2 linked regions of the Xenopus tropicalis genome follow. The protein of the gene in region 1 interacts with the protein of each later gene in a pairwise test. Links are inferred from orthologs where the notes say so. Each region holds a gene or a part of one and is shown in the gene's direction. Other genes may lie near its edges.

The links. The genes of interacting proteins can lie anywhere in the genome.
Region 2: the proteins of lrp1 (region 1) and mapk8ip1 interact in a two-hybrid assay, tested with the Homo sapiens proteins (2 studies listed by BioGRID). The link is inferred for Xenopus tropicalis from reciprocal best matches to the Homo sapiens genes LRP1 and MAPK8IP1.

Annotation. Positions count from the first base shown.
Region 1 is NC_030678.2:139,398,686-139,405,669, forward strand, and holds the start of lrp1 (prolow-density lipoprotein receptor-related protein 1), read left to right. Parts: upstream 1-2,701; 5' UTR 2,702-3,104; coding exon 3,105-3,195; intron 3,196-6,984. UniProt on the Homo sapiens protein: Endocytic receptor involved in endocytosis and in phagocytosis of apoptotic cells. Required for early embryonic development. Involved in cellular lipid homeostasis.
Region 2 is NC_030680.2:13,632,481-13,638,925, reverse strand, and holds part of mapk8ip1 (C-Jun-amino-terminal kinase-interacting protein 1), read left to right. Parts: intron 1-3,365; coding exon 3,366-3,447; intron 3,448-3,526; coding exon 3,527-4,339; intron 4,340-4,456; coding exon 4,457-4,532; intron 4,533-4,702; coding exon 4,703-4,875; intron 4,876-5,034; coding exon 5,035-5,141; intron 5,142-5,575; coding exon 5,576-5,695; intron 5,696-6,311; coding exon 6,312-6,382; intron 6,383-6,445. UniProt on the Homo sapiens protein: The JNK-interacting protein (JIP) group of scaffold proteins selectively mediates JNK signaling by aggregating specific components of the MAPK cascade to form a functional JNK signaling module. Required for JNK activation in response to excitotoxic stress.

The DNA of each region.
Region 1 (6,984 bases):
AGAGATACAGCTGCTTACAAACATACTGTATTTGTAAAAGTGTTGTGGTAATATGGGGCAGTGGAATTATTTGCAAATACAGAAGGCATGTGTCTGGAGCTAATAACCAAAATTATATGAATACGAATGAAAAGGGGAGGTAGTTACTCAAAAGTAAATCACTCAAGATGACACAAAAGTTAGACTTCCTTATTAACCACAGTACAATATTTTGTCCCCAGAAGCACTTGATTATATTGAAGGAATTACACAGATTCCATTGTACTCTGAAACTAAAAGTGCACTTCAAAACACAAGTGGATTTAAACCCAAGTGTACTTTTGAACCTCATTATACCTATGCATAAAAAAATGTATTCTCTAACTGACTAATCAACACTAATCCAGCGTTGTTGCTTCCCCTATCAACTAGATCTCCCATTGTACTGTAATGGAAAGTCCAGACATGGCCTCTTATATAAGCATGAACAGTCTGGAAGCAAAACAACTTTCCCAGCTATCTCAACAATCTGCAAAACAAGATTTATGGTAACATTAACTTCTGGACATAAACATCTTTAACATGGGCACAGAACTTAATGCAAAATGAAAACACATAGGGACATGCTCATACAAGCTCACTCTCAACATCCCCACCTTTTTATGAGACCCAACAGGAGCTCCATGGTGATTGCAGTTACAAGGGCTAGCAACCAAAGTGGTCCCCTGTTGAAGAGACTTTTACATTTACACAGCAGAACCAACTGCAAAGCAGCAACAAGGACATAGACACATATAGTGGTCTAATTTTGTCCAGGATATAACACACAGTGGGATTCCCAAAAGATGGCAAGTAGGAGAACATTTTAATCTTTCATGATTCATTTTATGTGTTTGGCTTGTGTATTGTATTGTTGGGTGACTCTTAAGGTTGACAACACTGTAAGTGCCAGACATGCGTCTTTATGGTGCTGATCTTAGGTGTCCGTATTCTCTTCTACTCAGTGGCAGAACTAGAAACTTAAATTGTCCCAAAACTTTGGGAGATTTCTCTTTATTGCACTGTGTTATCAGTTAGGCCCTTACACCTTCTTCCTCTACACCCCTGCATATTCTGCAGAGGAATAGATTGAGACCTAAGAACTTAGGACTGGGGTTTTAAAAGAGTTTCTGTTGTATTTCCAATATAAAAATAGCATTACTATTCCAAAAATATACACACAGGTTATTGGCTCCTGATAAAATTAACCATAGTTTGTGTGTGTGTATGCCATGGGCACCTTAGACTGGGGCAGGGACTGATGTGAGAGATGCATAATTTTTATTTATAGTTAGGTTAATGAACATTTTTCTAGAAAAGTGAAAAAATATATATGTTTTATATAAGCTTTTTTTAAAGTGTGTTCCCGCCAAAAAAGTATAGGCATGTTCTATATGCCCAAAAAGTACAACCGTTATAATTAAAAGTGGCAAGTATTCATTGCAAAACAGTGTTGCCCAGGAGTATTGATTACTGATACTGATACTGGTTATTTGCTCCATGGATTTATAAAGCATACTGCCCAACGCTGTTTCAGGGTTAAGTGCCACCCTGAGGGGGCCAGGTCAATGCTGCTTTTTCCTGACAGAGCTGGTCGGGGGGGTTGCATTGCTAGTGCAAGAGTGCAATAGAAGAGCCAACTCAGAATCAGAATTTCATCTCCTTATGTCACTAGGAGTGGCTTTACTCAACCCTTGGTAACGCTCAGGGCACTGCCACCTGAGGTGAGTTTCCTAGCCAGCTTTATGGCAGTAGTGCCCCTAATACCGTCAGGCACTGTCTTATAGAAAAAGCAAGTCCATTGTATACAAATATATATTTATATAGGACACTATTGGAAATGGCACTAATATTTTTGGATAACAAATTTCCAGATAACAACTCCTGTATCTGCAGTTTCTATAGCTACTATTGGGGGCTCAGAATATATAGGGGCCCCAGTGAGGCGCTGAATGATAAGTAGTAAGATAAGTAGTATTTTTTAAAAAAAATGCCTTATTCCCACATTTTAGGGGGACCCTGAAATGATTTTGCTGTGGGGCCAGTAACTTCTAGTTCCGCCACTGAACAGAAGACAAAACATCAGCTACTGGAGCATTAGAATGAATGCTGGAGAATGGCAGGGAGGAGGGGACAGGGGATTCCTGGGCAGAAGGCACTATTACCAGGGAAAAAGGAGCCAGGAGAGAGTTACACAATTACATAGGGCGATAGGGCTCCTATTGACCTATGCTATACTGATTTCTTTCTAGTTAATTGAATCTTTGCCACTTACAAATGAACCAAAGTGCCAATGAAGCTGGAACCCACTTGCAGGGCCAGAGTTAGAAAAGGGTCCCTAGGAATCTGAGAGGAGCTACCGACCGGCAGCCCTCCGGCTTTTGTTAAACTATAATTCTCTAATGACATTGAAAGCTGCAGGGTGAACATCGCTATTATACACCAGACAAACTGTCATTATCTTCTATGTGTTTTTATCAATACTGTGCAGGGACCCCAGGCAAATGGCCCTAAAACAGGCCCTGACTAAGCTTTACATTGAAGCCACAGGTTAGAGACCACCCCCGCCCCCCTTGTAAAGCCGCAGCCTGCTTATCCCAAGAGCTGGTGGGGGCGGGCTAACCGTACAAGACACGCCCCCTCCCTCCCCTCCCTCCCACACATAGTCTCTCCCCAGCCATTCCCCTTCTCATTAATAACACTGCTGGATTCCTCAATCCCTCATAATCAGGGGGGATATCCAGTCAGGTTGCAGCTATTGCCGGGCGAGAAGGGGAATCGCTAGGACTGCATATGCCCCCTCACTCCAACCCCCCCATTCCCCTTTATCAACCCCTTCCCAGCACTGGAATAGAGAGTGTGCAGCCCATTGGCAGCCCTGCTGCTGCTGCTGCTGGCCTCAGCCTCCCCACCTTCCCTCCTTTAATTGTTCACGTTTTTGGGTGATTTCTTTTTTCCCCTCTGTGGCCACTGGCGTCTGGATATCAAGGCATCAAGAGGAGGAGGGAGGCTGCCAGGCGAGGGCCAAGCACTGGATCAAGGCACCCCCTCCCCACCTTAACCCCTGCTAGTCCTTTCCCCCCACAATGCCGTCTCCTAGGACAGATGTTGCAGCTGGAATCGCATTGGGATTACTGTATTGTTGCTTGCACGTTGTTGCGACCTCTGTCAACGATGGTGAGTAGAAGTCCTGCTTTGTGCTGCGCCTGTAACCGAGCGGCTTCGGGACTGGGCAGAGGGGGAATGGGGTAAAGGTTTCTCTGTGCTGACATCCCTCACTGCAGGCCTGCAAATCGGATCGCACTCTCAGGAATGGGAACGCTAGGATGGCTGTCTGTAACACACACACACACCTATTCAGCCCTGACACTGAGCGATATTCCGTTTCCTACATTCTATGCCGCATTCATACCATAAGGTTCGACTACATTTCCCAGAATTCCCTGTAGTGTATGTGCCCAGGTCGGCCCTTACCGTTATGGCTTTGCAGGCCACTTCAGTTTGTGACGAGGTTTCTTCCTCAGATGAAATAGAGCAATGTTAGGAACTGTCTTGTTATATTGTAGCAATTGGATCTAATCTGTTCCAGAGGTGCCCCTTTCTGCCAGAGGGGGAGGGGTGATTTGTTTTGTTTCTGGCCAAGTGAGGGTCTTTTCTTCAGTCATTGCAAAAATTTGGTTTGAGGAATAGGCCCCTCTGATTGCAAAGCTTCCATACACAGCTCTGGTTTCTTTCTATTGCTCTGTGTGGTTTCATAATGGATGGAAATTCTAAATGATCCACACATGGTGGGGGGGAATCAGCCCTTCTCTTGCCTGCCTGTGTGTGTATCTCATTAAATCAATGGCTATCCCTTTTTATTGATTAGTTATAACGCATCTGACGTATGGGCTTGCCATCTAACAATCGTGCTATCTATTTATAAACACTATTTACGCAGCCAATTTCTCATTATCTATACAGAATTACTTTTTTTTTTTTTGTGGTCGTGTGGAAATTGTACTCAACCCTTTTGCCTCTTGCATTGTATTGAATCCAATTGAATTCACCCAGGTTGCACAATGAATTGCTTTCTGGGATTTCTTCCCCTTGGAAATGCTGTCATGTGTGCCTGTGTGGGTTAAACCAGTGCTCCCAATCCCATCCTAGAAATTGTAGTGCTAGCCTGTATGTGAGTTAGTGATGCAGAAAAGCAATCTAGGTGGATATGAAATATGCATGTCCATAGGCCCAGTGTGAGTGGCATGTGAGCTACCTTTATATTCTGCAGCCTTGTACAAAGGGGCCGTGTCAGAAGCAGTGGGCATGAATGTTATGGTATATTTCTTTGTCAACAGTATGGCGTTTGATTCTGTGTATTTTTTTTTTTTTTTTTCTCCTTAATGGCATCACTTGGAAACGGTGAGGGTTGTTGACGAGGGAAACAAGGCTGACATTGTGAAGGCATCTCCATTTGCTATTTGCAAACCTCATCTGCAACCACATCAGCGGCTTCCTCTCTACACAGTGGGGCTGCAGTGCGCCTCCAGTGCGTGACATGGCATTTAACACAGGCAGGGACAGAAGGGGAGATTCATTGGATAGGGTCTTGTTTGCGAGCCAGATGTTAGAGGAGTCCGCTGCATGATCTCATTCTTGCTATGATGGATTTGGCTAACTTCTTTTTTTTTTTCCCCTCCACCTCATCCATTCTGAGTACTAAAGATTCCGGCAAATATTCCAACGCAGTAACCAAAATCGGCTTTAAATTTGGACTTTTGCTGGTGTATGAAATGTAAACACATCACACACACACATATTGTGTTTGCTTGTAAGCTGCTTGTTGCTGAAGAAGATAGCAGTACAGGTATGGGATTTGTTAACCGGAAACCCTTTATGCAGAAAGTTTTGAATAATGAGAAGGATATTTCCCCTAGACTCCATTGTAAGCAAATAATTCTGATTAAAAAAATCCCTTTTCTCTGTAATAATAAAACAGAACTTTGTACTTGATGGTAACTAAGCTTAAAAAACCCTTCCTAATAATCCTAATAAGTAATGGTTAAGTGATGTTTTAGTAGACTTAAGATGGCCATACACGTTACAAACCTTGTTTTGTATGGTAATATCGGTACCGGTACATGTATGGGCTCCCTTAAGGTATGGAGCTCTAAAAAAAAATCCCTTACCAGAAAACCACAGTTCCCAAGCATTCTGGATAACAGATCCCATGCCTGTATTATGAAAAATAAGCTTTGGCCACTTTGTCCTCTTTGTTTCTCTCCCCCCCCCCCCCCCCCCTTGATAGCGATTTCAAAACTGGGTCAAGATCAGAACAAATAACAGCATCATAGAACAGCAACTGAATGCACTTGTGTAATAGAAGCTCCAATGAGCCCTGATTTATTTTTGCACCTATAACAACTAGTGGACTGCTAGGCTTGTTGGTTTTATCTAATTTTCTCATATATGTCCATATTGCCGCGATCTACTGTACCGTTGGCTTGGGGCTTTATCAGTTAGCACGATAGCTACTATCAATTGCCGACCTTAATTATACAATTACTATAAAAGACTGACATTCTAAAATACAAAGAGGAAGGGTACAATTGATGGATTATATGATAGTGTTCTATTTTGTTTTTTTCCATGCGTCATTGAGCGCAGCTCTTGTGTCTCATATTGATACAGGTGGTGGCCTGGTCATTTTTACAGAGTATAAACCAGTGCTGTGCAATTATATTTACTATACCCAGTGTTCTGGGAACAAAGATTTCATACAAAGCAACAACAGGAACCCTTTGGCAGGTTGGGACCCATGAGTATTGGACTGAGGGTCATATTTAACCTGTGAATTTCATTCAGATAGTCCTGTTACAGGCAGCAGATGTATTTGTAGGGCTGTTGCAAGTGGTATTGTATCTGACCCTAGCAATTGGCTAGAACTGTGATCTGCAATTAGTGGCTTGTGAGCAATATGTTGCTCACCAACCCACTGGGTGTTGCTCTCCGTGTCTTCAAAGTAGGTGCTTCTTTTTGTATTCCTGACTTGAAGGCAAGCTTTAGTTGCATCAAAACTGTGTACTGCCAAACAGAACTTTCTGTAGGCTGCCAATCTACATAGGAGCTACCCATATTTTTCAAGGAACCTTTTGCATGCTTGTGTTGCTCCCTGACTCTTTTTACATTTGAATGTGGCTCACAAGTAAAATAGGTTGGGGACCCCTGAGCTAGAACTATAATTGGTAATGGAGGAGGCATTCCCTGTAAGAGGTGGAATACAGACATAGTATGTGGGTATGGGGGTATTTGCCTAGGTTATAAAATATATGGGACATATCTATATTAGGCCTCTTGACTTCTCATGGATCAAGTTATGTGCAGCATATAGCAATGAAGGCCTCCGTGAAAGAGGACTTAAGGTCCCCATACACGGGCTGATTCTAGCTGCCGATATCTATCCCTTAGACTGATTGGGCAGCTAATCGTCCCGTGTATGGGCACTACCGACGGGCCTGCCGAACCGATATCTGGCCTGATATCGGCCAGATCTCGATCGGGCAGGTTAAAAAATCTAGTCGGATCGGGAACCGCATCGGCCCGATCTGCTCGCTTGGCGTATACACACACATATATATTATATAATATATATATAATATATAATTATTTTTTTTTTTTTAACCACCAATGGCACCCAGCCTTGCTTGGAAATTCTTCCTTCAACTTGTAAGCAAGGGCCCAGCTGAGAACAAGAGCCCCCTGTAATCTGAAAACCTCTTTAAAACTAGACAAATAATGACATGTATCTATTGAGGACTTATTATCCATTCTCATATATGTCTGAATTTGGGGAGGTGCCAGAGCTTTAACGGATTTGCCAACAGTCCAGGATGATGGAATGTGAAGAGATCAAAAACCAAACTTTGACTGTATATGGATACTGTAATTGTGCAACCATATGCACTGGTAAAATGCTATGGGCAAACA
Region 2 (6,445 bases), on another chromosome or scaffold:
AGGCATACAGGAGCATACACGGGCATACACAGACATACACGGGCATACATGGGAATACAGGAGCATACAGGTGCATACACAGACATACACGGGCATACAGGAGCATACTCGGGCATACAGGAGCATACAGGAGCATACAGGGGCATACACAGGCATAAAGGAGCATACACGGGCATACACAGACATACATGGTCATACAGGAGCATAAACGGGCATACAGGAGCATACACGGGCATACGGGAGCATACACGGGCATACACAGACATACACGGTCATACAGGAGCATACACGGGCATACAGGAGCATACACGGGCATACAGGAGCATACACGGGCATAAACGGATATACAGGAGCATACACGGGCATACAGGAGCATACAGGAGCATACACGGGCATACAGGAGCATACACAGGCATACAGGAGCATACACAGGCATACATGAGCATACAGGAGCATACACAGGCATACAGGAGCATACACAGGCATACAGGAGCATACACAGGCATACAGGAGCATACAGGAGCATACACGGGCATACAGGAGCATACAGGAGCATACACAGGCATACACAGGCATACAGGAGCATACACAGGCATACAGGAGCATACAGGAGCATACACAGGCATACAGGAGCATACACAGGCATACACAGGCATACAGGAGCATACAGGAGCATACACAGGCATACAGGAGCATACAGGGGCATACACAAGCATACACAAGCATACAGGAGCATACACGGGCATACACAGACATACATGGGCATACATGGGCATACAGGAGCATACATGAGCATACAGAAGCATACACAGGCATACAGGAGCATACAGGGGCATACACAGGCATACAGGAGCATACACGAGCATACAGGATCATACAGGGGCATACACAAGCATACAGAAGCATACAGGAGCATACACGGGCATACACAGACATACACGGGCATACATGGGCATACAGGAGCATACAGGAGCATACACAGGCATACAGGAGCATACACAGGCATACAGGAGCATACATGGGCATACTGGAGCATACATGGGCATACAGGAGCATACAGGGGCATACACAGGCATACAGGAGCATACACGGGCATACACAGACATACACGGGCATACATGGGAATACAGGAGCATACAGGTGCATACACAGACATACACGGGCATACAGGAGCATACTCGGGCATACAGGAGCATACAGGAGCATACAGGGGCATACACAGGCATAAAGGAGCATACACGGGCATACACAGACATACACGGTCATACAGGAGCATAAACGGGCATACAGGAGCATACACGGGCATACGGGAGCATACACGGGCATACACAGACATACACGGTCATACAGGAGCATACACGGGCATACAGGAGCATACACGGGCATACACGGGCATAAACGGATATACAGGAGCATACACGGGCATACAGGAGCATACAGGAGCATACACGGGCATACAGGAGCATACACAGGCATACAGGAGCATACACAGGCATACATGAGCATACAGGAGCATACACAGGCATACAGGAGCATACACAGGCATACAGGAGCATACACAGGCATACAGGAGCATACAGGAGCATACACGGGCATACAGGAGCATACAGGAGCATACACAGGCATACACAGGCATACAGGAGCATACACAGGCATACAGGAGCATACAGGAGCATACACAGGCATACAGGAGCATACACAGGCATACACAGGCATACAGGAGCATACAGGAGCATACACAGGCATACAAGAGCATACACAGGCATACACAGGCATACAGGAGCATACAGGAGCATACACAGGCATACACAGGCATACAGGAGCATACAGGAGCATACTTTATGCCTGGTTCATTGATGCGATCCTCACCCGAACATCCTGTATCCTCATCATTATGATCTGTCTCCACTTGCCACACTCCCCTTATCCCTTTATCCCCCCCCCCCCCCCACTTACTCACACTTCTTTAATCCCTGTGTTACGGGGGGGCAGAAGGCAATTTCAGTATATACTGGTAGAAATATTGGGGGGCTTGCTTCTAGTTACCCCACTGAGCATCTCTCTGCCACCAGTTTTCCCCGTCTGTCTCCCCCATCTCTGCCTCCTGCGCTGTTTTTTTGAACATTTATCTTTCTCTCTTTCTCCTCAAGCTCCTCGGTTCCTCTAGTTTCACTGCCATCTCTCCCTGCCCGTCACTCCCTCACTCTATCTCTGCTCACCGGTTGCCATGGTTACGGCTGAGCTAGAATGGCCGCAGTGGCTTTAAGTGGCCCGAGATCCCTCTGCCTGACACGGCCCCTCGTATTCCCACCCTTTCAGTGCTATTATCGGATGCACAGAGAATGCCTAAATGATAAACCTCCTCACCGAGCCTACATTTCCCAGGGGGCACTGAGGTGCATTTCTGGGAAACCCCCAACATAAAGATCAAAGGATTGTGGGCAGAGTTTTCCTGGAAACGATTAGGGATCCTGAATATTAGGGCCACGATAAGATTTAAAGAGTCATCTACATGTTACAAAACAAAAGCAAAGATCTGATTGGTTGCTATGGGCAACATCGCTGTTGATGCTTGTCTCCAGTGTTAATAAATGCACCCCTAAAGCTCTGTATCGGGGAACCCCAGGCTGCTTCCCTCCCAATGCTGCCCAACAAACATGCAGTGTGTTCATCAATAACTGTAGGGGAACAGCAGGCAAGCAGTTATACCAAATGGAACAGTTCCACAGTACCCTCTGCTGGCTGCAAGTGGAATTACACTTGGTGGTAAAACCTGCAGATCCCCAGCCTCAAATCTGAGCAACCTGCCATAACCTTTAGCTAAGAATGGATCCCACACATACAAGAGCCCCTTCTCCCGACACCTAGGGACACAATAACTTCCACTGACACCATCTTGTCTTACTATCTGTTTGAGTTTCAGTCTTGTGAAACCCAATTAATAATCTGGCCAATAACCACCTCTGACGCCATGGCTTCGCCCCTACAAGGAACAACCCCGCTCCAAGAGTCATGACCCCGCCTCCCATATGTTACTTCTCCGCCCTTTTGTCCAGTTTTGGCCAAGGTCAATGGTGGTTAGTTGCAAATCTTACCTCACTATGCAGTAAGGGACCCCAGATATGGTAGGACCTGGGGCAGTTACTGGAACTTATGCCTTTAAAAGGTGATTCTGCCTAGTTTATTGCTAGTTTGAGAGGGGGTGGCATTTGCAGCATACAAGTGCCCAAATAGGTCCAATGTATGCAATAAGGCCGCTTCCTGCAGCCCCCCAAGTCTGCTGCTGTGGGTGCCTACATATAATAGGCCAATGGGGGGAGATGTTTCATAAAGTGCAAGAGACATAAGGTTCTTCCTTTCCGTAGGACACCCTTAATAATAACTCTTCGGCGAAGAAATATAGTTGGCAGGATCGTGTGTCCCGCTCCTCATCTCCACTGAAGACAGGTAAATTGGCAAAGTGTATTTGTTATGGAGCCTGGGGGGGTTTGTCATGTTCTCCATAACCTTATTCTGTTGCCCCCAGGCGATACCACTCCCTCCAATGAGCACGTGTGTCTGAGTGACGAGGGAAACCTGCCAGCTGTCACACAAGACCGAGGCACCTCCACAGATACCCCCTGCCGGCGCCACACTTCCACCCAAAGCACCACGGACGCTTCCAACCGTTCCTCCAGCAGATGCCGCTTGGATCCCCACCGAGACCGTATCCGTTACCAGACTGACGTGAGGCTGGAGCCCACAGAGGAGATTTTCCTGACTCCTGTGCAAAGGAGCTCGGACCCCCCAGAATCTGACAGAGCCTTTGTCTCACAAGCTGGACCCTGCCGCATGTCGGTCAGCTCGGACGCAGACATTAACGTTCGCACAACTAATGGGGGGCGTCAGCAGCTGTCCATAAGCGAGGAGGAGGAGGAAGGGGAGGATGGGGTGGGATACCTAGGGTGCCCAGGCAGGGGAACAGGTCCTCAGGGCCTTCAGAGGGCTTCAGTCAGCTCAGACACCAGTGGCCTATCTTATGACTCTGTGAAATACACCTTGGTGGTGGACGAGAATGTACAATTGCAGTTGGTCAGCCTGAGGCAGTGCTATGGGGGCTATAGCGACGACAGCGACAGTGGCACTGTGTATGACAACTGCGTCTCCTCCCCCTACGAGTCTGCCATTGGGGAGGAGTATGAAGAGGAGGAAGAGGAAGATAACATTGGAGGTGCAGGGAGGGAAGGTGACCGGGTTCGAAGGTCCATGTGCCTTTCGGAATCTTCATCCCCAGACGGGGACATCTCCTACTCCAAAAAGTTCCTCAATGTCTTCATGAATGGGCGTATGAGGTGCACCGGTGAGTTCTTCTTGGAGTCGTCTGTGTATTGGACCAAGCAGGGGTGTTGGGAGGTCTCCTAGTGTATTTGTACTGTAGAAGGCCTTGTCTCTAAGTAATTCCATTGGTCTCTCTCAGGCGCTGAGTCCTTTGGGTTATTTTCATGCCTGATAAACGGTGAGGAGCGGGAGCAGACCCATCGAGCCGTATTCAGGTGACATGCCCACCTAGTCTTCTTTATTCTCATGATCTTCCTCACTCACTTTCCTCCTTGGCTCACACTGCCCCCTGTCTATTGGTTTAATCACCTCCCTGTCTTTGATTTTTAGATCCTCGCTTTCCCTAACTGTACCCCCACCCATTGTACCCCCAATCTCCCTTTAGGTTCATGCCCCGTCACCCCGATGAGCTGGAGTTGGAGGTAGAAGACCCTCTGTTGGTGGAGGTTCAGGCGGAGGACTACTGGTATGAGGCATATAACATGCGCACTGGGGAGCGCGGGATCTTCCCTGCTTACTACGCCGTACAGGTGACCAAGGAGCCGGATCCCATTGCAGGTAACAAAGGCTGTAGGAAACCTACATATATAACCCACTGATCCAGTTGACCAGAGGATCTTCTAATGGGCACATGCTCCAATGGGCAACCAACCTAGAGCAGTTTCTTGCACCCCTTAGCATTCTGATCTGCTTTATTTACTTTCCTTCTGCCCCCAGAAAGCCGAGCGCCTAATTGGGTGGATCAGTTCTGGTTGAAGTTTCTGGGTTCTGTGCAGGTTCCGTATCACAAAGGGACTGATGTTCTCTGCACCGCCATGCAAAAGGTGAGTTGTCTCCTTCCATCACTTGAGCTGGGGGGTCCTTAGGGCAACTGCTTCACCCTGCTTACTCAGGAATCCTGGGAATTGATGTTCAGTAGATGCTGGAGGACCACATGGTGGATGTCCCTAGAGCAGGGAACTGGACTTATGACTTCAGACCAATAGAGATATCAATCATGAAGTCATCAGTTTCTGAGCAATGATAAAGGGTTAGGGGATCTCCCCGTACCGTCATCCTACCTACAAGCATAATGTACCATATGAGCAGTGACTTGTAACAGACATTCTGTGAGTCAGGTGACAAGTGACATCACCAAAGTGATGACATCATTCAGTATCATCTACAAGAATATGTTTTGTGGGTTAATCATGGCCTCTGTGTATTACATAATATGTTCTGCTGGGCTTTAACCGTTCATTGACCTTTTGTGTTTCAGATCGCAGTATCCCGCCGCCTAACGGTCCTGTCCAATCCCCCGGCCAACTGTATCCTAGAGATAAGCATGCGAGGAGTGAAAATTGCGGTGCAGGGGGAAGACCCCCTGGATCACAGCCAGGTACAATACCTACTATTCTGAGGAGAGGGTTGAATTATACAATATTTTCTGCCATGTTCTAGATTACAGATTGCTCTTCTGAGCACGTTTGCAATTTACATTTGTTTAAATGACAATATAATGAATATGAAAGAACAGCACCCCTTACTGGTCATTTTGGCCAAGTGGCTACATTATTACACATTATAATGGCCCAAAGAGCTTGAGTTTGTTCTAATACGTGTTGGTAAATTTGTCGACCAGAACTTAACCTGTTATCAGTGAGAGTCTCCATAATAATCGCTTACAGTGTGGATGTGATCAAAGAAGGTTCATGAAGGCTTCTGTGTGCTCCACTGTGCAAGACTATAGCATTCATGTAGGGGGCCATATTGGTGCCCATAGCTGTGCTGCTTCCTTATATAAAGAGAGTAACTGTACATAAAGGGAACCCTACAGTGCATTGGCTTGTTGCTGTGTTGTGTGATATATACATATACAAGTGCTTGTGTTATTATTTCAGGGAACCTTGAATGTCCCTGACCTAATCTGACCCCCTTACACCCCACAAATTAGCCCCCGACCTTTCATTCAAACCCCTTTCCATTCATTCCCTTCTTATTCTTGCCTCTTACAGGTCAACACATGCAGTCACTTCTTCCAGCTAAAGAATATTTCCTTCTGCAGCTATCACCCCAAGAATAGCAAGTGAGTGCCCGATCCCCCCAAAGGGACAATGCTGCGGGATGGTTCCATGTGGTTTCTGTGTGT